Linked DNA regions of Oryctolagus cuniculus. The protein of the gene in region 1 interacts with the protein of each later gene in a biochemical or structural test. Links are inferred from orthologs where the notes say so. Each region holds a gene or a part of one and is shown in the gene's direction. Other genes may lie near its edges.

Region 1 (10,408 bases):
ACTCCGCACCTCTTGCCCCCACCATGCTGCTCCTCTCAGAAACGAATCCACTGCAACATTGTTGAGAAATCAACTGCAACAGGCCAGCATGGTGGCACGGGAGGTTAAGCTGCCACCTGCAGTACCAGCACCCCATATGGGTGCCGGTTCGAGTCCCGGCTGCTCCACTGCTGATCCAGCTCCCTGTTAATGCACCTGGGAAAGCAGTGGAAGATGGTTCAAGTGCTTGGGCCCCTGCACCCATGCAGGAGACCTGGAAAGAAGCTCCTGGCTCCTGCTTCAGCCTGGTCCAGCTCCAGCCATTATGGCCCTTTGGGGAGTGAGCCAGCTGATCTCTTCCAATCTCTCTCTGTGTCTTCTTCTCTTTGTGTGTCTCTACATTTCAAATAAATAAATAAATCTCGGGGGAAAAAAGACTTAACTGTGAAGATCTTCCATCTGCTGGTTCACTTCCCAAATGGCTGCAATGGCTAGGGCTAGGCATGGCCAAAGCCAGGAGCCTGGAATTCCATCCGGGTCTCCCGCACGGGTGCAGGGGCCCAAGCACTCGGGCCATCCTCCGCTGCTCCCCCAGGTGCATGAGCAGGGAGCTGCATGGGAAGTGGGGCAGTGGGACTGGTGCTCATATGGGCATCACAGGCAGTGACCACTGACCACCCGCTGCGCCACAACGCCGGCCCCTTTTCCTCTCTTGATAATATTATCTTGATAAGCAGAAGTTCTCAGATGTAATGTGCCTGTTCAAGGCATCTCCGTGTGCCCCCAAGCCAGAGCTGATGTCCAAAGTCGCGTGGGTCCGTCTGGATTCTGACCAACGCCTCTATGCTTTCTTGCTCCAGTTCCACAAATGAGGACACGGAGGCACGGACAGGAAGTCGACTGTCCACGGAAGCCATCTTGCCAGCGGACGGCAGAGGCGGAAAGGGAACTCAGGGAGTCTGGCCAGCGTTTCCGTCCCCGCATCCACGCAGGCGGCTGGGGAATCCGGGCGGCTGCGCAGCGCTGGTCCTGGCCCCGGAGGCCGCCGCTGCGGTCCGCAGAGCCCCGGGCCGGGCGGCGCCCTCCCGGTCCCGCCACTAGAGGGCGCGCGACCTCCCCTCGCCGGGCCGCCCTCCCTCCGCGCCGCTCACCTTTCACCCAGTCATCAAATATTTACACAAAGCGCGGCTGGAAGCTCATGGAGAAAGGTGTCCAATCCAGTCTCCCGGGGGAACCCTAACAAAAGGAGACAGAACGGGACTGATGTGTCTCCAGAGTATCTTTGGGAAGGAAAGCCATGCAGCGCCACCTGGCAGATCTGTAACACCTTCAAACCTTCCTCTGCCAGTTTGCGACAGGTGCTTTTGTGCCACCTGTAGCGGAAAAGAGGAACAGCCCTTTGCAATCCTCGTGGTAACCTCTATTCACAGGTGCTTTTATATAACGAGGTGCACAGTTACCGAGTCGTCAGCTCTCATTTCTCACCGAGAGATAATACCCAGTTACCGTTCGCCTTCTTAGCAATTTGCGAGTGCCTTTGTTCTCTCCAATTTCCCTATGACCCTTTACAAATTATTTTAAAGGCAGAGAGAGAGAGAGAGAGAGAGAAGAATCTTCTATCCAGAGCTTAGCCGCTTGTTGCACTGGCATACAGACTCCCGTTCGAGCCCGGCTGCTCCACTTCCCATCCAGCTCCCTGCTAATGCGCCTAGTTTAAGGTAATGGAAGACGACCCCAGTGTTTAGGCCCCTGCACCTACGTGGGAGACCTGGAAGAAGCTCCTGACTCCTGGCTTCGGATCAGCCCAGCTCATGCCCTTTTGGCCATATGGGGAGTGAACCAGCAGATGGAAGATCTCTCTGTGTGTCTCTTCCTCCTTCTCTCTTTCTTGTAACTCTGCCTTTCAAATAAATAAATACATCTTAAAAAAAAAAAAAAGACATCTTCTATCCATCTGCTGGTTCACTCCCCAAATGACCCAAATGTGCACAACAGCCTGGATTGGGCCAGGTCGAAGCCAGGAGCCAGGAACTGCATGTGGTATCCCATGTGGGTGGCAGGCATTCCAGTGCTGGGGCCATCATCTGCTGCCTCCCAGGGTGCGCACCTGCAGGACGCTGGAACTGGAGCCGGCACTCAGAAGTCCTGTAAGAGCAGTGGGCAGCCCAGGCAGAGTCCTGAGTGCTGCGCCACGTGCCAGGGCCTCTCTGCTTGTTTTCAAGTGTAAAAGCGAAAGCGGACTTTGCGCTCCAGGACTCTACCCAATGCTAGATTCCCGTCCTGATTCTCCAAGGTTGCCTTGTTGACATCACCAAACAGTGTGAAGTTCCTCAATAAAACAATTCATCTGCAGCAATTTGAAGATAGTACAAACCACAAATAACAAACACAGTGACTCAGCAAAACAGACACGGTGCTGCAAAACAAGAGGTAAGGCCACTCTACACCTGTGCCCCACGACAACTCCAAAACCCGATGTGTGTGGAGAAAGCGTAGAGGGCAACGTGGAGATAGGCAATAATTGGTTAGGATTGGGGCCATCAGTCTTCCTTTTTATTTTTTTAAAGATTTATTTATTTATTTGAAAGTCAGAGTTATACAGAGAGAGAAAGAGAGGCAGAGAGAGAGGTCTTCCATCTGCTGGTTCACTCCCCAATTGGCCTCAATGGCAGGAACTGCACCCATCTGAAGCCAGGAGCCAGAAGCTTCTTCCTGGTCTCCCATGTGGGTGCAGGGGCCCAAGGACTTGAGCCATCTTCTACTGCTTTCCCAGGCCAGAGCAGAGAGCTGGATCAGAAGAGGAGCAGCCAGGGTGCCGGCACTGCAGGTGTCAGCTTTACCTGCTGCGCCACAGTTCAGGTCCCAAGTCTTCCTTTTTATTTAAAAATAAGCAAAATCTTTTATTCACTTAGCAAATTATTGAGCGTGTAAGATCCAGACTTGGTATTGCAAGGAATACAAAATCAGACACACATCCTGCTGTTCAGAACAGCCACTGACAACTGTGTATAAGGACACTTCCTCTGGCGCAGGTACTGCTACCCTCCCTATCACACAGACTAAGAAAGTGGAGAACAGGGGTGGGTGTTGTGGTGTAGTTGGTAAAGTTGCCACCTGTGACACCAGCAGCCCATAGAGGCGCAAGCTGCTCCACTTCCCACCCAGCTCCCTGCTAATGCACCTGGGAAAGCAGCAGAGGATCACCCACGTGGGAGACCCAGAAGAAGCTCCTGGCTCCTGGCTTTGACCTGGCTCTACCCAACCATTGCGGCCATTTGGGGAGTGAATCAGAAGATGGAAGGCCTCTCTCTCTCTCTCTCTCTCTCTCTCTCTCTCTGCCTCTCTGTAACTCTAGAACCAGGTGCCCACAGGCCCTGTTCATCCTTAGCAGAGCACCAGGCCTGTGGAGAGAAGGGGAGGCAGGAGAGGCAGACACACAGAGCTTCATGGGAAAACTCCTGAGGGGCAGTATCTACTCAGGAAGCAGGCGGAGAGGGGGTTCAAAGTCAGGACGGGGCCAGGACCGGGCCAGGGTTAGACCTTGAAGGTCCCTGCCAAGCTGAGACTGCGGGACCTGTTCAATTTTTACTCAAACACTCTGTGAGCGTTAAGCACCAAGCACAGTGCTGGACTTTGGAACTAGGACTGCCAGTAAACCAGGGCTCCTACCCTCCGGGAGTTTATAGTCTAATGGGACAGACAGACAAGGAAGCAAGAAATCCCAGACCCATGCGCTAATGGCCGGTGATGGAAAGTGGCACAGACTGAGATGGGACACATCGCAAGAAGGTGACATCTGTACAGAGCCAGTGACACAGGGCAAACGGAAGTTAAGAAGTGGGGAGGGACAGGGCGTGTGAGCTAGGCTGCGGGGACAGCTTGTGCAAAGCCCTGGAAGTGAGAGAGAGCCTAGGACTGCAGGGACGCTGGGTGGTGCCAATCAATGCAACCAAGCTGTTAAATTCTTGCGTAGCTCATTCTCAAGTCCAGGAAAGGCTCCAAGCCTGGGCTCAGTTGCTCATTCTCAAGTTCAGGAAACATTCCAAGCATGGGCTCAGCCTGCAGCCAAGCTGAAACTGACCGTCCTCTGCCTCCTGACCCCAGAGCTACCGCCTGCCCGGGCCGTCTTGGCCCACCATCAACACTTTGTCGCTGCTACACAGGGACCCAGGACAGCGCTGCTATCCTGAGCAGACCCGGTGGTCAGACAAATTTGTCCGGCAGCCTCATTACTATCTGAGCCCACGGCCTCCAGTCCTCACACTGCTGCACGGCTGGGCACTCTCCCCATGTTGCACCCTGCCACTTGCAAATGCCAAGGATTTCGGCACAGACAGCAGTATAGCTCCGTGGGTTAAGAGCAGATGCTTTGAGATCAGAATCAAATGGGTGGGATCCTCTTATTAGCTTTATGATACTAAGCAAGTCATTCAACCTGCAACGCCTCTGCTTTCCTCATCTTTAAAATGGGACTGAGGGCCCGTGCTGTATACTGGTTGGAGTCCCAGCTGCTCCACTTCGGATCCAGCTCTCTGCTAAGGTGCCTGGGAAAGCAGTGGAAGATGGCCCAAGTGCTTGGGCTTTGTAACCCAGGGGGGAGACCAGGACGGAGTTTCCGGCTCCTGGCTTCAGACTGGCCCAGCCCTGGCCATTGCGCTCATTTGGCGAGTGACTCGCTGGATGGGAGACACCCTAGCTGCCTTCAAATAAATAAACAGACCTTTAAAGACAAAATGGGGACGACAGCGCTGTTCCATAGCTTTATGGAGTGACAGGGCAGACTTGAGAGCAGCAAATGAGACAGTCTTTGCTCCGCACTCAGCGGGTGCCAGCCGTATTCCGACGACCCGGGTGGCGACGATGCCGATGGTGACAAGGCAGGCAGGCTGTCAGTCCTGCAAGGCGCTGTCTGGTATCTCGGCACCCTCCGCCAGCTCCAGCAGCTGTTTCCAGAGGCGGCCCTGAACAGGACCCGCGTAAGGGAACCCGCAGTCCCTCCAGCCTGAGGCCACGCCCCAGGCCTCAGCCAGCCTGCGTCACTCGCCCAGCCGGCCGGCTCTTAGCGGGCGGGGACGACACATGGCGGGAACGTGAGGGGGCGGGGCCGGATCCTGCGCTGCCGGGCCAATCGCCGGGCTGGAGGCGCCCAGCCAATGACGGAGGCGCTCCGCGGTCCACTGTGGGGCGGGGCCATAGCAAACAGCGGTTTCGTCATAGGTCAGAGGGCGGGCTGTGGGCGGGGCTCGCGGCGCCGCCGGGGGCGGAGCGGCGGTGGCTCCGGCAGTCTGAGCTGTGATGGCGGCGGCGGCGGCGGCAGTGGGTCCTGCGGCGGCGGCGGTCCCCGCGCCGGCGGCCAGCGCGAATGGCGCCTCCTCGGTACACTGGTTCCGCAAAGGGCTGCGGCTCCACGACAACCCGGCGCTGCTGGCGGCCGTGCGCGGGGCTCGCTGCGTGCGCTGCGTGTACATCCTCGACCCCTGGTTCGCGGCCTCCTCCTCCGTGGGGATCAACCGATGGAGGTGAGGAGACCCCGAGCGGTTAGGACGCAGCCGAGCGCCCCCGGCCCGCGGCAGCTGGGGCAGGGGCACGGCGCAGGCTCCCCGGAGGCGGGAAGCCGGGGCCAGGGAACGTGGTCAGCGTGCTGGTGCGCGCGGTGGGCCAGGGCCGCACCTCCCTCCGAGCGCCGGACCCCCGCACCCCAGGACCCCCACGGCACGGAGCAGGCGCTTGAACCCTGACGGCGCAAAGTTGACCTGCCCAGGTGTTGCCGGGCGCGGCAGGACGAGGTCTCCAGGTGTAGGGAATGCCCGTGCAGGGAGCCCAGCGGGTCTCTAACACTCGCCTTTGCGGGTCCTAAACTGTTGGAATCCGCCCTCTCGGCCACCCTGGCTTCCCTCCACCCACACTGCCCAGCCTCTGGAGGTGTCTGGAGACCCTCGCTTAGAATTGATAAGGTCTCCTCCCGCGAGTCCTGGCTGAGGACCCCGAGGGCGTCTGTGGGGAGACTCCGTGTCCCGAGAGCCCCAGAGCAGTTCGTAGCCGTGTTGGGGAGCCCTCTCAGCGGCCATGACCTCGCTGGCAAAATTAGACAGGAACCCAAGACAGCACCTCCCCCTCCTCCTGGTTGAGTTAGAAGGACCTGCGAGCCACTGTAGACGGCTCTCTCATGGACTGATGTGCCCCGTTCCGCATAGGGACCCGGGATGCCACAGTGTCGGAGTTCCCCATCTATTCCAGGAGGCGGGGCTGACAGGATCCTGGGAAGGGTTAACAAGTCGATAGTTGGAGTATTTTTTCTTTAATTAAAAATATATATATTATATATTTACTCATTTGAAAGGCAGGGCAAGAGAGAGAGAGGTCTTCCATCCGTTGGTTGACTCCCCAAATGGTTGCAACAGCTGGGGACGTGCCATGATGAAGTCAGAAGCCAGGAACTCTATCCTGGTCTCCCGAGTATCTACGGCAGGGGCCAAGCGCCTGAGCCCCCCTCTGCTGCCTCCCCAGGTGCATCAGCAGGGAGCTGGATCAGAAGCAGAGCCCCCAGGGCTGGAACCAGCAGTGGGGTCGCGAGCTTTTTTTCTGCCAAAGGCCGTTTGGATATTTAGAACATCATTTGTGAGCCAACAAAATGATCAACTGTAAAATGAGCCTGCTATGGGTTTATTGAATTTCAAGTCCCATCTGTGGTTGCTTTGGCAGGGCCAGACCAAATGATTTCAGGGGCCTTATCTGGCCCGCGGGTTGCTCGTTCCCTACCCCGACGTGGGATGTGGGGAACCCAAGGGGCAGCTTCACCCCCTGCGGATCCTGGGGGTTATTTTTTTGGCTGTAAGCTGTGTTCAGAACCAAGGAGTTTGATACCCACATACCCATCACCCTCAGACACCAGGGGCAGGTGCTTGGTTTATTTGCATTGATCTGGGGGATGTTTGCTTGTGGCCACACTGCCCAGATGGGCTGAGTTGTTCCCAGGAGACCATGGGCTCTCGGCACACCATTCTTTCCTCTCCAAGGTGTGTGCCCTGCGAGGAGAGAGCGCTCGTGGCAGTCGGTCTATTAAATGCTCCCCCCTGCCCGGTGTGTAGCAGGAACAACTAAAGATAGTCGTGGGAGAGTCTGCCCACACTGTTTTCAGCTGCACTATTGCTCCAGCTCTGCTCCACTTTCTATAGATAGGAGGCCGGCTTTGACAAACATCCTCAAATGACCGTCTCCAGTGTGGACATTAAATCAAGCCTCAGACTTTGTCCTCCCCGTGGCAGTGTGCCAACCAGAGCAGAGTAAATAGAATAGGAGCCACTTGTTACCTTGTCATAAAGGAGTTTCTTTTATGGAATTTTTTGGAGGGGGAGGGAGAGACATGGCTTAGGCCTGCTTACTCCTTTGTAGCATTGGGGAAGTAAAAATCAACAACAAAAACACGGTTGCTGATTAAACTGCATCTGCTAGAAACGAGGTGTTTATGGATTTTTGTAGGTCACCCTTTTGTAACTGTGCTCTCAAGGGAGTGCGGGGGCAAAGGAGGGTGGCAGCTCAGGTGCCTGAGTGACATCCGGAAGTCAGAGGCCACACAGGGATGTAGCTATTCCGAGAGGGATTATTTAGTGAGTGCTTAGTAGGTTCCAGGTGCTGCTCTGGGTGCTGCCGGGGTGCAGCGGGGACTAAGCTGATGCATGGCAGTGCCGCAGGATTCCCGGGGCCGCGTTTTAGTTGAGGACGTGGAAATAACCCCAGTTTGGTAGAACTACTTCTGTAAGAAAAATGAAATAGGGGCGCGGGGAGGGGCAGACCAGAGCCGCAGTTCTCCATCTTGGCTGCACAGTCGAATCTCATAAGGATCTTTAAATGCTGCCTGGAGCCCCCTGCCCCCTGCCCGATTCTGATGGGACTGGCCTGGGCCTATGGTTTGGGCATTAGGGTCTTGTAAGCTCTCAGTAAAGCTTGAGAAACCCCGAGCTAGAGAACAGCAGACCAGAGTGGCCACCTGGGATGCGGCCTGGCAGTGCCGTGTGGCAGTGCCCCGTGGCAGGAAGTCTAATTAGTATTTGCATTCGCATTCCGCAAGAAAGAGGTGAAATACCACCAAACAGATCGAATCTGATAGCTGCTGCTGGGCGCCTTCCACCCCGCCTGCAGGCTGTCTCCTGCACGTGGCTGGGTGGCTGGAGGTGGGGGGACTTGTGCCGGCCCGCTGTGCCTCTGCGCCTCTGGCAAGCTCCGGGGCGGTAATCTTCCTGTGGGCTTCCTGGATCCTGGCATTGTGCCGCTGAGAGGCATCTCCGGGAAGGGTGGGGGCATCCAAACCTGTGAGCTCTGTTACGCTCCTACACATCCTACGCTGACTCACGTACAGCCTTCATCTGCAGAGGGAGGCAGATGAAAATAGCTATGAATGGCACTTTCTTTTTGCTCAGATTTGTATTTATTTATATGATAAGCAGACTTGAGAGAAATCTTCCACTCACTGGTTCACTGTCCCCCTCCCCCGCGCCTGTGTCAGCTGGGTTTGAACCAGGCCAGAGCAGGGAGCCAGGAACAGCATCTGGGTCTCCATGTTGGCAACAGGAGTCCAAGCACTTGGGCCAGCACCTGCTGCCTCCCAGGATGCATCAGCAGAAAGATGGATTGAAATCAGGTAGCGGCCAGGACTCAACCCGGCACTGGCTACTTGGGATGTGGGCAGCCCAGGCGGCGGCTTAACCCGCCGTGCCACGTGTGCCTCCTAGGAATGGCACTTTGTCAGAGCAGACGAGGACAGAGAAAAGGCAACCAAGAAACACATCTGTTGGTTGGCACAGGAGAAAGCTAGCACACTCCTTGCCCTGGTGATACTGGGACGTTTCTGGGTTGCCTCCGGAATGTGTTGTTCTCAAGCACCAACTGGTATACCCTTGGTCATCCTCCCCAGCCGCACCTTCCCCAGGTTGGCTGCGTCTGGAAGGAGGCTCTATAGGGAGAAGCAGAACCAAGGGCACATGTGTGCAGCTTCTAGGTTTTAAAATAGGAGTTACTTAAAATAGGCCCTTGGAGTTTCTCACACCCTTCCTCTCCCTGTGGCCATTTCGATAGGTATTGGCAAGGATTTTCACACTTCCTGTAGATCGTTTTGTCCTTGTCTCAGGCGCTACGCCTCTTTCAGACCCTTCAGGGACAGAGGGAGTCGGGAGAAAGAGAACATTTGTTCTCAGTCGTAATGCACTAGGCTGGGGCTCTCTGCAGGGTGCCTGGCCAGCACCAGCATGGCCTCTTGCCCAGTGGCTGAAGGGCTGTGGGTGGTGCTTGTGGGTGGTCCGCCCGGGGAACTTGGTGAGTGGGGGGTTGAGAGCTGGAGTCTGCTGGTGGGGAGATGGAGTTTCCCCACGCCCCCCTCCCCCGGTGCACGGCCCAGGGGCTTTTCCACTGCTGCCCAAGGAATGTTTCCATTTGCTTAGAAGGATGGAAACCCTCTTCATCTTTCTCCCAGATTAGGAGAAAGCAAATACACTTTTATCGCGTAGAATTTGATCCCTGTGTGGATTGAGTTGAGGTTATCCTTTTCCACGGGGCTTAGGCTCTCGTAATCAGAAGAAAATTAATTTCTATTAATATGCTGCGCAGTCAGCCCGTGCTGGCTGGTGACATCATCAGCCTGGTTAGCTGACCTTGGCTCGAGGCAGAGAAACTTGGTCAAGGGCACTGTGGATCCAAAGAAGGGTTCACTATCATCTCCCTGCCCCCGTGCACAACAAACAACACCTTTTCCAAGGCTGACCAGCCTTCCCTCACAACACAAGTCCTTAACCGAAGTCCCTGCCCGTTTTATTCTAAAGGGCCAGCCTCGTGGACTCTGAATTACAGCATCCTCTCTGTATTTTTGGAAATCCCATTTTGGTCCTCTCCAGCTCTGGGCGCCTCCGGCTGCAAAGTGCTTATGTAATGTGATTCACTTGCACATGTTGTCTAATTCAAAGAGAGAGCTTTAACGGCTCGCTCAGGACCGTGTGCTCGGAACCTCGGCCATGTGAGCTCAGCCCGGAGCTGCCGAGGGCGAGGGGCCAGCCTCCAACACTGCCAGCGCCAATGCCCCGGCCGGCACTCATTGGAGGGCAGAGAGACGGACCACGTGCAGGGGAGGCGGGCCCCAAGGGAGCGCGGGAGGGAATGAGTGAGCCCTCTCTGCAGTGCAGGAGTGCGCCGCCTGCCCGCTGCTGGGGTGCTATGCAAAGCCATCACCTGGCTGGGCCGGTCAGGGTCAGTCGTTCTCTCCCGCCTGGAGGCTTGACTCTGGTGGGAGGGTGCAAGGAGCAGAGGTTTTCCAGAGGGCTGAGGAGGGGGCAGGAGCCAGGCCGTCTGCAAGTTCACTAGAGAAATTTCCCTGTGCACGGGACTCAGCGAGGGTCTTGCTGAAATGCAGCTGCTTTGGCCAGGCGAGCTCCCAGGTGACTGA
Region 2 (10,357 bases), on another chromosome or scaffold:
ATTGGGGGCTTGTACTGTGGCATAGATGGTTAAGCCTCTACCTGCAGTGCCAGCATTCCATGTGGGTGCAGGTTCGAGTCCTGGATGCTCCACTTCCAATCCAGTTCCTGCTAATATGCCTGGGAAAGCAGTGGAAGACGGTCCAAGTGCTTGGGCCCTTGCACCCACATGGGAGACCCAGAAAAATCTCCCGGTTTTGGTCTGGACCAGCTCCAGCTGTTGCTGCCATTTGGGTAGTGAACCAGTGGATAGAAGTTTGATTTCTCTCTCTCTCTCTCTCTCTCTCTCTCTCTCTCTCTCTCATCCTCATCTTCTCTGTATCTCTGCAATTCAAATAATAAATGAGTAAATCTTTAAAAAAAGAGAAATGTTAAAACATCATTTCTGTTGCATTCTATAAGTGAAACAAATCACCAAAACCAGATTCAAGGGCAAGGAAATTAGAGTCCATGTCTTAATGGGAGGAATAGAATTTGCTAATGAAAAAGGCAGGCAAAGATGGCAACCACTTTGTAAACTGTCACTACACTCTGTAATGATTTGGCCTTTTCTGTTCCTTTCTTTTTTCTTTTGTCTTATTGAGTAAAATCCTAAGCTTTGACTTAATTATGCTTATTTCTGGAAAACTTTATTTAAAACTATGAATTCTACTGTGTCAATATTAATGTCTTTTTACCAATTCTGCTTTTATATTCTCATCACAACCCAGGCATCCGGAAGTCAAGGTAACATTGTAAACAGTTGTTCCAGGCTAGTAATACCCTGTAGCACCTGGTAGAAACAAACACAGAAACCTTTCTCTAGTGACACACCCTTACCCATGTTGCATAGGATTACTACAAGTAAGTATCACAGAAAATTAATTCTCAATCCAGTATCAGAAAATACATGAGGAACAACCCACCTTGAGCAAACACTGACACATGTCAGGATTACATTTTCATTTATTTTATATGATTAAAATTATTTATTTTATTTTTTTAAGATTTACTTTATTTATTTGAAAGATAGAGTTACACAGAGAGGTCTAGACAGAGAGGTCTTCCATCTGCTGGTTCACTTCCCAGATGGCCGCAACAGCCGGTGTTGCGCCGATCTGAAGCCAGGTGCCAGGAGCTTATTCTGGGTCTCCCACATGGGTGTAGGGGCCCAAGCACTGGGGCATCTTCCACTGCTTTCCCAGGCCACCGCAGAGAGCTGGATCAAAAGAGGAGCAGCCAGGACTAGAACCGGAGCCCACATGGGATACCGGCTCTTCAGGCCAGCGCTTTAACCGGTATGCGCCACAGCGCTGGCCCCTAAAATTATTTTAAAAAAGAAATAAAAACAGGAGAAAAGACCATCAAGAAAGATCAGGCAGGGCCAGGTGTTTGGTGCAGTGGCTAAGAAGCCTCTTGGGATATTCACATCTCATACTGGAATGGCTGGGTTCACTCCTGACTCCACTCAATTCCACCTTCCTGCTAATGAGCGAACTCGAGAGCAGCAGGTGATAGCTCAAATACTTGGGTACCTGCTATCCATGTGGGAGACTCGGGTTGAGGTCTGGACTCCTGGCTTTGGCCTGGCCCAGCCCCAGCTGTTGTAGGCATTTGAGGATGAACCAACAGATGAAGTTCTTTCTCTGTCTCTGCCTCTGTGCCTTTCAAATAAAAATGAATAAACAAAAATTCACTAAAAAAAAGCATTTATAAATAAAAATCAGGCAAAGATTTGCTTAGCAGAGACTAAACAGAACTTAAGAGAGAAATAGTGACTTGGAAGACAGTTCAGAGAAAATTGTAAAGACAGAAAAAAAGACATTAATAATATGAAATTAAGAGATACAGAGGTAGATCTATCATGGTAGAAAAATTCCAAATAATTTGTGAAACACCTCTGCCCAAAGAAGATGGAACATAATATCCCACCCTTTCAGTGTTGACCGTATGTAGTGACTTCCTTCCAAAGAGTACCATACAGAAAGGAGAAAAGAAAAAGATTTCAGTAGAGCAACTTGACCTCAACATTTAATTAATGTTGGTATCAGTAGGAATAAGTCATGTTGATAGACATACTCTTGATATGATATGATGTGAATGGGACTTTATACCTTTGTGGTTTCCTCCCAAACGTCAATAATCCAAGCCTAGTCACCAGAAAAACATGAGACCAATCCCAAAACACTGCAAAATACTAAAGAATACTGCAGCAGTACTTCAAAAATTATGCCATTTTAAAAAAAGGAATTTCAGGTTAGTGTTTTGAGAAATCACTACATTACTTTAATCTATCCTGATTACTGGTGTACCATGATGGGAGGTGGTTGTGGGAGTGATATGCCCTTGGTGGAGGAGGTCTACTACTAAGGACTTAAAAGCAATAATAAAGCTGACTAATGGTTGATCTGCTCTTCATTATCACAGGCACTGGCAATTCTTACCAGGTTCTATAATATCTTCCCCACTGTATTAACCTGCTCCAATGCTACCCTCTACCCTACCCCACCCCTGCCCCAGGCAACTGATCTTGACTAATATTAATATTAATTGATAATTGGAAATAAGTAGTGGCTGATGGAAAAATAAGTATATTTCCTTATAAAATTTATTTTCAGGTACTTGAAAAGGAGAGAGATCAATTTTCCATCCACTGGTTCACTATACTAATGCCTGCAGTAGTCAGGGCTGGGCCAGGCTGACTCTAGGAGCTCAGAACTCCATCAGGGTTTCCCATGTGGTTAGCAGGGGCCCTAGCCCTGTTGTTATGAGCACATTAGCAGGAAGCTGGATCAGAATTTGAGCAGCTGGGACTCAAACCCGAAATCCAATATGGGATTTGGGATCTTAAGGAGCAGCTTAATCTATATCACTACCCCACAATGCCTGCCTCCAAATACATTTCTTGTTTAAAAAAGAAGTGAAAGGCCGGCCGGCGCCGTGGCTCAATAGGCTAATCCTCCACCTTGCGGCGCCGGCACACCGGGTTCTAGTCCCGGTCGGGGCGCCGGATTCTGTCCCGGTTGCCCCTCTTCCAGGCCAGCTCTCTGCTATGGCCAGGGAGTGCAGTGGAGGATGGCCCAGGTGCTTGGGCCCTGCACCCCATGGGAGACCAGGAAAAGCACCTGGATCCTGGCTCCTGCCATCGGATCAGCGTGGTGCGCCGGCTGCAGCGGCGGCCATTGGAGGGTGAACCAACGGCAAAAGGAAGACCTTTCTCTCTGTCTCTCTCTCTCACTGTCCACTCTGCCTGTCAAAAAAAAAAAAAAAAGTGAAAGGGGCTGGCACTGTGGTGTAATAGGCTAAGCCTCTACCTGCGGCACTGGCATCACATATGGGCGACAGTTCATGTTCTGGTTGTTCCACTTCCTATCCAGCTCTCTGCTATGGCCAGGGAAAGCATCAGAAGATGGCCCAAATGCTTAGGGCCCTGCACCCACTTGGGAGACTTGGAAGAAGCTCCTGGCTCGTGGCTTCTGGCTTCAGATAAGCCCAGCTCCGGCAATTGTGATCATTTGGGGAGTGAACCAGCAGATGGAAGACCTTCCTCTCTATCCCTCTCTGTGTAACTCTACCTCTCAAATGAAAAAAAAAAAAAAAGTGAAATAAAATCTTTAGTTAATAGTAACAGGGAAGAGGAGGCATTCAATAGGTAAAGTGTGCCAAGATCCTTGTCTCCTTTAAAAGAAAATTGTGACGGGACTCTGATTAGAGTATGATAAAATATTAATGTGATGTAACATGCACTAATCAAGTTTGCTGATTTAGTTGCTTTGTTGATCATATTTTTAATTAAACAAAAGAGATTTATTTATTTGATTCGCTCCCCAGGTAGTAGCAATTGTCAGGGCTGGGCCAGTTCCAAGCCAGGAGGAGGTCCATCTGGGTCTCTGGATCTCCCAAGCACTTGGCGCCATCCGCCTATGCTTTTCCCAGGCCATTAGTAGGAAGCTAGGACTTGAACCAACACCCATATGGGATGCCAGCATTGCAGGCTGTGGATTACTGCTAAGCCACAACACCGGCCCCAGTCATAAACACTCTCAACCCCCCTTTAAGTAGATGGGCTTGTTTTTCTTCCTCTAATATTATCATTACCTTTCTTAGAATGTCCTATTGTCCCTCACCATTCAGTCATTGAGGGACCTAAAAAAATGTGGCAGTTCAGGTACATCCACATTATTAGGTTGTTAGAAGCTGTCTGTGCAATTTGATTTGGCCATCTGATAGCTAGGCTTAAAAAAAAAAAAAAAAAAAAAAAAAAGGAGCAGGAAACTCCAGTGTTGTGGCCTAACAGGTTAAGCCTCCTACTGTCACCTGAGATAGGCCTGGTTCAAGTCCTGGCTGCTCAACTTCCAATCCCAGTTCCCTGCTAATGTGCCTGGGAAAGCAGCAGAAGATGGCCCCAGTGCTTGGGCCCCTGCACCTGTGTGGGAGACCTGGATGAAGCTACTGCCCCCTGGCTTCCTCCTGGCCCTTGCAGCCATTTGGGGAGTGAACCAGTGGATAGAAAAAGATCTCTTTCTTTCTCTGTCTCTCCTCCTCTCTGTAACTTTGTCTTCCAAATAAATGAAAAATAAATCTTAAAAAAAAAAAAAAAAGAAAAAAGCACTGGCATTTCCCAACATTGACTCTTAATGTCACTTTACATATGGCTTCCTGGTTTTATACTTTTGGGGAAGAGGAACAGTGAAGGGCTCCCAAGATACCTCTACCTTCCAGTCTACTGCCCATGAATCAGAGTTAGAAGGCATCTCTGGATGGAAAATGACGTCTTGTTTCTTTTATTGTTTTTTAGGGTGAGGGATGGTGAGTGACTCAAATTACCGCAGTGCACCTTCCAGCTTTAAGAAAGCCTGCTAGCATCCAGTCGAACTCTGCAAACAAGCTAACTGGGTGTCAGGGACGCACAGGATTTGATTTCCAAAAGGCTTCCCTACGGGCCATCTCTTACATAGCCAGGCGTTACACTTTCCCCTCTGTGTCTCTCTCTACACATTTCAGGAGGCTCTCTACTTCATGAAGGAAAGGTGGTTTCTCACGAGAGTAGTAACTCGGTTGATAAAGACTTTAGGAAAATCGGGAATCACGAGTGTTTTGAAAACTATCTGTAATCCCAGCGTCCTTGCAATCTTTCCGCCACTACATCTGTAGGTCTGATGCCCGGCTCCACTGGGGCCCGTGCTGACCCCCGCAGGAGCGGAGGGGTGTCGCTGCCGCCGGCGACTGTCCACCGTCCCGCGGCCCGGAGTGCCCCACGCTCCTGGGACACGCCCTCCTGCTTTTGGCTGCTCCACCTCCTTACACTTTCCAGTCTGAACCGCGTCGAGCTAACGCCAGCCTGCCCACATTGCACTCCCAAACAAGACGTCCCCTCACAGCCAGAGCCGCGGCCCCTTGGGGAACCGGGAGGCGGACGCCGCGCGGCGCGCGCTCTCGCCCAGGCGGGGCTTCCTCCGCGCCCCGCCCCCTCCGCCGCGGACACGCGCCCGCCCCCTCGGGCGGGGACGCGCCGGGGAAAGCGCGCGCCCGCGAGCCCCGGGCGCCATTTTGGACTCGGTGTCTGGGCCGAAGAGCTGGAGAGCTACGCGGCGGCTGCAGCTCGCTGAGCGGGGAGCCTCTGGCAGCGACTGGGAGTCCCGGGGCCGAGACGTAGACAGCGCGGGGCTGAGAAGGAAGGCGTCTCGTCGGGGCAGCCAGACTTGCAAAGGTGGAGCCGCGTTGGCGCCCGCCGGGGGACCAGCGCCTCGGATGCGGGCGTCGCACGGGGGGCCGCGGCCGCGGGAGCGCGAAGCAGGGGGCCCCAGGGGCCTCATGTGAGAGCCGCGGGACCAGCGGCCGCCGTCCCCGGAGCCGGGGGTGGTGTGTGGGGGAAGCCGCCCCCGACAGCAGGTAACGGCGGACGGGCGGGGCCGGGAGGGGCTGCGGAGCAGCTGTGGACGGGCCGGGGGCGCGGGGCCCCGGGCGCGCGTGGGCCGCTCCGCGGGAGTGCCGGGCGGGGCGCGGGGCGCAGCACCCAGCACCCAGTCCCTGGAGCCTGCTTGGGGGCGTTGCCCCGCGGTGCCTGCTTCAAAACATGTCAACAAGGCGTGGTGCGTGCGCGGCTGGGGCGGCAACTCCGCCCGGCGCTGTGGCTCTGGGCGGGGGCGGTGTCCGGCACCGCGCTGCTCCGCTCTGGCCGGCTTGTCGGCTGCTGGTAGCCTGAGATGGCAGAAGCCACCTCCAGAGTAGGGCGCCTGGAATCGTCGGAGAGCGCCAGTCCGTGAAGGTGGTGCGGGGAGGCGGGGACGCGCTCGCCGCGTCGCCGAGTGGAAAACTTGGTCAACTTGGGTTGAGCAGCGTCGCGCCTGCTTTGGGCGCGTGCGGCCGCCTCTCGGGTTGCAGACAGGGATCGGGAAGCAGCCCAGTAAACGACTGGCCTGCAGCTCCAAGCACACAGGTGAGAGAGGTGGTGGTTTTGTTGCTAATGGTTCCGGTCGGGTGACCCAGATCTTAGAGTTCGAATCTTCCCCCAGCTTTCCCTGAAATACTTTAGAAGACTGCAGTCGGCTGCCAGTTATCTATTTATGACCACTGGGTAAATTTTAGCCACCATGCTTTCCCGGTACCATTCAGTCCTGAGAGTTAATCTCTTTGGTTTGTTTTATTCTTGTACCCCTGCCAAAGATTGCATATTAGTATTGATGTTGGTGCAGAAGATGGTGTCCGAACAGGGCCTTTAGAGCTAAATACAAATGGTCTTTTAAGGCGACTTGCATGTCCGGTGTACATAGCGGTGCAGGGAAAGACACCCAGCTGCTGTTCTCTTAACTGGTGATCCAGTTGACTGCCGCTTCCATAGTTTTCAGAACTGTCAAGTTAGCTCACCAGCTGCCTGTGCAGCTCCGCCAGGATGTAGTCGGTCCTCATTAACTTGCTTTCTGGCACTTTGTAATGATAGTAGCCTCTCGCTGAAAGCTCTGGCGGTCAAAACAGCATTATTGAGATCCCTGAAACGTTGCAGGAAATTAAACTGCCTGAGCTTTATAGAGTTGTGCTTTTGGTGCTCTAGGAAGTCGTATTGGCATTTGTTGTTCAGTGTGGTCCTGGTATTCAAATATGAGGGTGCTTGCACTTTGACTAAAAGTAGGAGATATCAACACCATTGATTAAATTATGTGTTGACTGATGGGTACTCTGAATTGGTTAACTTTCTGTTCAGTCGAGCTTCATTTGTAAACATTTAACGGACTTTTGAAAGCAGTACAGATTTTTATGTGAATAAATGAAACCACCTTGGAAAAATTGGCATTTGAAAGTTTTATTAGGTGTCCACACATTACCTTCTGTTCATAAATAAGACTATTACAGAGACCATCTTTATTGGAATTGACCTTACATTATTCTCCAGTGCTTACCGTATGTAATTATGCCATATTGCAGTAATAATAGATGATTTCCAGAATTTTTTTAGTCATTCATAAGCTAGTAAGTGCTTTAAAATGCTTTGATGATCATTTGGCCTTTTTATATCTAGATCAACAGATTACTGTACATTAGTGTTGCATACTTTTCAAAATGTCAGATTTTTCCCCTTATTTACTTGCAAAATAGGACAATAATAGACAGAGTAAGGCTTCTATTGGTAGGACCAATAAAGCATTAGCAAAAATTATTGCATGACTAAGACTGTCATTTATTTTGAAGTTTTTATTTATCTGAGAGGCAGAGAGAAAGACAGAGTAAAGTCTCATCTGCTGATTCACTCTTTGAATGCCTTTAATGCACAGGGTTGGTCTAGGACTGGAGTCAGACCTGCGATCCAGGTCTCCCATGTGGGTGCCAGTAACCTAATTATTTGAGGCATCACCACTGTCCTCTGGGGTGTGCATTGGTGGGAAACTGGAGTCAGGAACCAGAATTGGATTTTGAACCTATGGTACTCTAATGTGGGATGTGCGTATCTTACTTGCTAGAGTGAATACCCACTTTGTGGCATTTTATTTTTTTTATATCTCCATCTACTTCAAAGTCAAATGAATAATTGTGTTTTTGAGTAGTTCTAGTTTTAGAACACATTTCTCTGGGAAACAGGTGATTAGCATCTTGTTGTACTGCTTCATTCTTTTTGAATCTCTGTCAAAATTCTGAATAGTTTTAGGTAGTCAGAAGAGAAACTATAAGCCCTAGATGGCAAACTTTGTTTCATGATCCATTTGTATATGCTAAAACTACAGTAAAACTTCAGAATAAATGAAGCATAAAAATGGGTCATAATGACTGGGTTATTTCAACCTCTAGTAGGACACTGTTGTTAGGAGAGTTTTTTTTATATGAAAGATGATACTGTATGGGCAGGTGTTGTGGCACTGTGTGTCAAGCTGCTACCTGGGATAACTGCAATTGCATATTGGAGTGCTGGTTCAAGTCCTGGCTATCCCACTTTGATCCAGCTCCTTGCTAATCTGTCTGAGAAGCAGCAGATAATGACTCAATTCCTTGAATCCATTCCACCCAAGACGTAGACCCTGTTAAGAGTTCCTAGTTCCTGGCTTCAGCCTGCCCTTGCCCTGGGTGGTGCAGCCAGCTGGCTTGTGAGCCAACAGATTCTGGATATCTTTATCTCTCTCTTCCTCTCATTCTGCTTTTCAAATGAATAAATCTTAATAACAAAAGATTACATTGTAGAATCTACTATTGTTTTTCTAAACACACAGTGAAAAGAATGTGGAGGAGTTGTATTCCTTAAAACTACCCTTTTGCTGTCACTTCTGTTATTGTTTTCTCCCTTCCTTTCCTCCTGCTGAATGGGCAGCGTTTTTACTTCACTGTATTCATGGTTGTAAGTAGGAGTGATGACGAATACACAGTTTATTGTACATGTGTTAAGATCTCCTGGATAGATGCTCATGGCATGAAGGCCCATGGGCCTGCTGTTAACTCTCTACTCTTTAGCCCTTGATTCTCTCTCACAAGTTTTGCTAGCTACTGGATGAAGAAAGTCTTAGAGACATACTTGGTTTACAACGATGCACATGCACATCCTTTATCCCACATGGGATTTAGACATTTTTATACACTGATGTACCAAAAAAGAGGTAGGATGCAAAGCCTCCAAAAGGCTTTGACCGAAGTCTAGGTCCACACTCTACCCACTCGAACTACTCTGTAGAGTAGTGGGCTCTAAACTAAATACGAGTACCAGTGAAGGATGTGGTGTTACTTCAGTTTAGAATCTGCTGTACTTGTCTAACAAATCAAGATCCTTTTTAAAAAATACTACCACAGTGCAGTGCCTTGATGTTAAAAGAAATGTGTCAAATGTAGAAAGGAAATGCTTTGTAAAAACAAATTAACAGGAATAGTTAATAATTTAGTGAATCTACTTTTGGTTTTACCTGAGCTCTTCTCTGCCCCCACATACACACACCCACAGACCTCATTTAAAAAAAAAAGAGACTCATTCTTTGCATTCTGGTAGGTAATCTCTGTTTTACTCTTTAATACTAAACTGCTTTTCTGCAGTAGAGTTCAGTGATCATCTTTTTTTTTTTTTTTTTTTTTTTGACAGGTAGAGTTATAGACAGTGAGACAGACAGAGAGAAAGGTCTTCCTTCCATTGGTTCATTCCCCAAGTGGGCCACGGCCGGCGCTGCGCCGATCCGAAGCCAGGAGCCTCTTCTGGGTCTCCCATGTGGGTGCAGGGGCCCAAGGACTTATGCCATCTTCCACTGCTTTCCCAGGCCATAGCAGAGAGCTGGATAGGAAGTGGAGCAGCCGGGTCTCGAACCGGCACCCATATGGGATGCCGGCACTGCAGGCGGTGGCTTTACCCACTACGCCACAGCTTCGGCCCCTCAATAATCATCTTTTAATAACCATAATATTTCATTTTTCACAAGAACACCTTATCTTATTCCCCTTTTGCAAACAAGCACAGGAAAGTTGAGTGATTTACTCAGGGCTACATAGCCAATGAAAAAGCCTCCCCCACCTGTTTTCTTTAATCATAATGCTATTCGGCCTTGAAAAGGTTATCTTTCAAGGAAACAGGTGAATTGAAGGTAATAAGAATACACAAAATAAACATGTAAGTGTCATTAAGAAATAAAGTGGGGAATCATTGCAATAGGAAGTGATGCATTAGAAGTAACTACAGGCTGGCACCATGGCTCACTGTGACATGTGGCCATGTGTCTGTGGCACCGGTACCCCGGGTTCTAGTCCCGGTTGGGGCGCTGGGTACTAGTCCCGGTTGCTCCTCTTCCAGTCCAGCTCTCTGCTATGGCCCGGGAGGGCAGTGGAGGATGGCCCAAGTGCTTGGGTCCCTGCACCCGCATGGGAGACTGGGAGGGAGCACCCGGTTCCTGGCCTCAGATCAGCGCAGCGCCGGCCATGGT

Evidence for each region.
Region 2: the proteins of CRY2 (region 1) and FBXL3 form a complex in vitro, tested with the Homo sapiens proteins (2 studies listed by BioGRID, with this or other methods). The link is inferred for Oryctolagus cuniculus from reciprocal best matches to the Homo sapiens genes CRY2 and FBXL3.

Annotation. Positions count from the first base shown.
Region 1 is NC_091432.1:20,110,077-20,120,484, reverse strand, and holds the start of CRY2 (cryptochrome-2), read left to right. Parts: upstream 1-5,247; 5' UTR 5,248-5,274; coding exon 5,275-5,498; intron 5,499-10,408. UniProt on the Homo sapiens protein: Transcriptional repressor which forms a core component of the circadian clock.
Region 2 is NC_091440.1:35,443,013-35,453,369, forward strand, and holds the start of FBXL3 (F-box/LRR-repeat protein 3), read left to right. Parts: upstream 1-5,548; 5' UTR 5,549-5,688; intron 5,689-5,736; exon of another isoform or gene 5,737-5,870; intron 5,871-6,110; exon of another isoform or gene 6,111-6,417; intron 6,418-10,357. UniProt on the Homo sapiens protein: Substrate-recognition component of the SCF(FBXL3) E3 ubiquitin ligase complex involved in circadian rhythm function. Plays a key role in the maintenance of both the speed and the robustness of the circadian clock oscillation.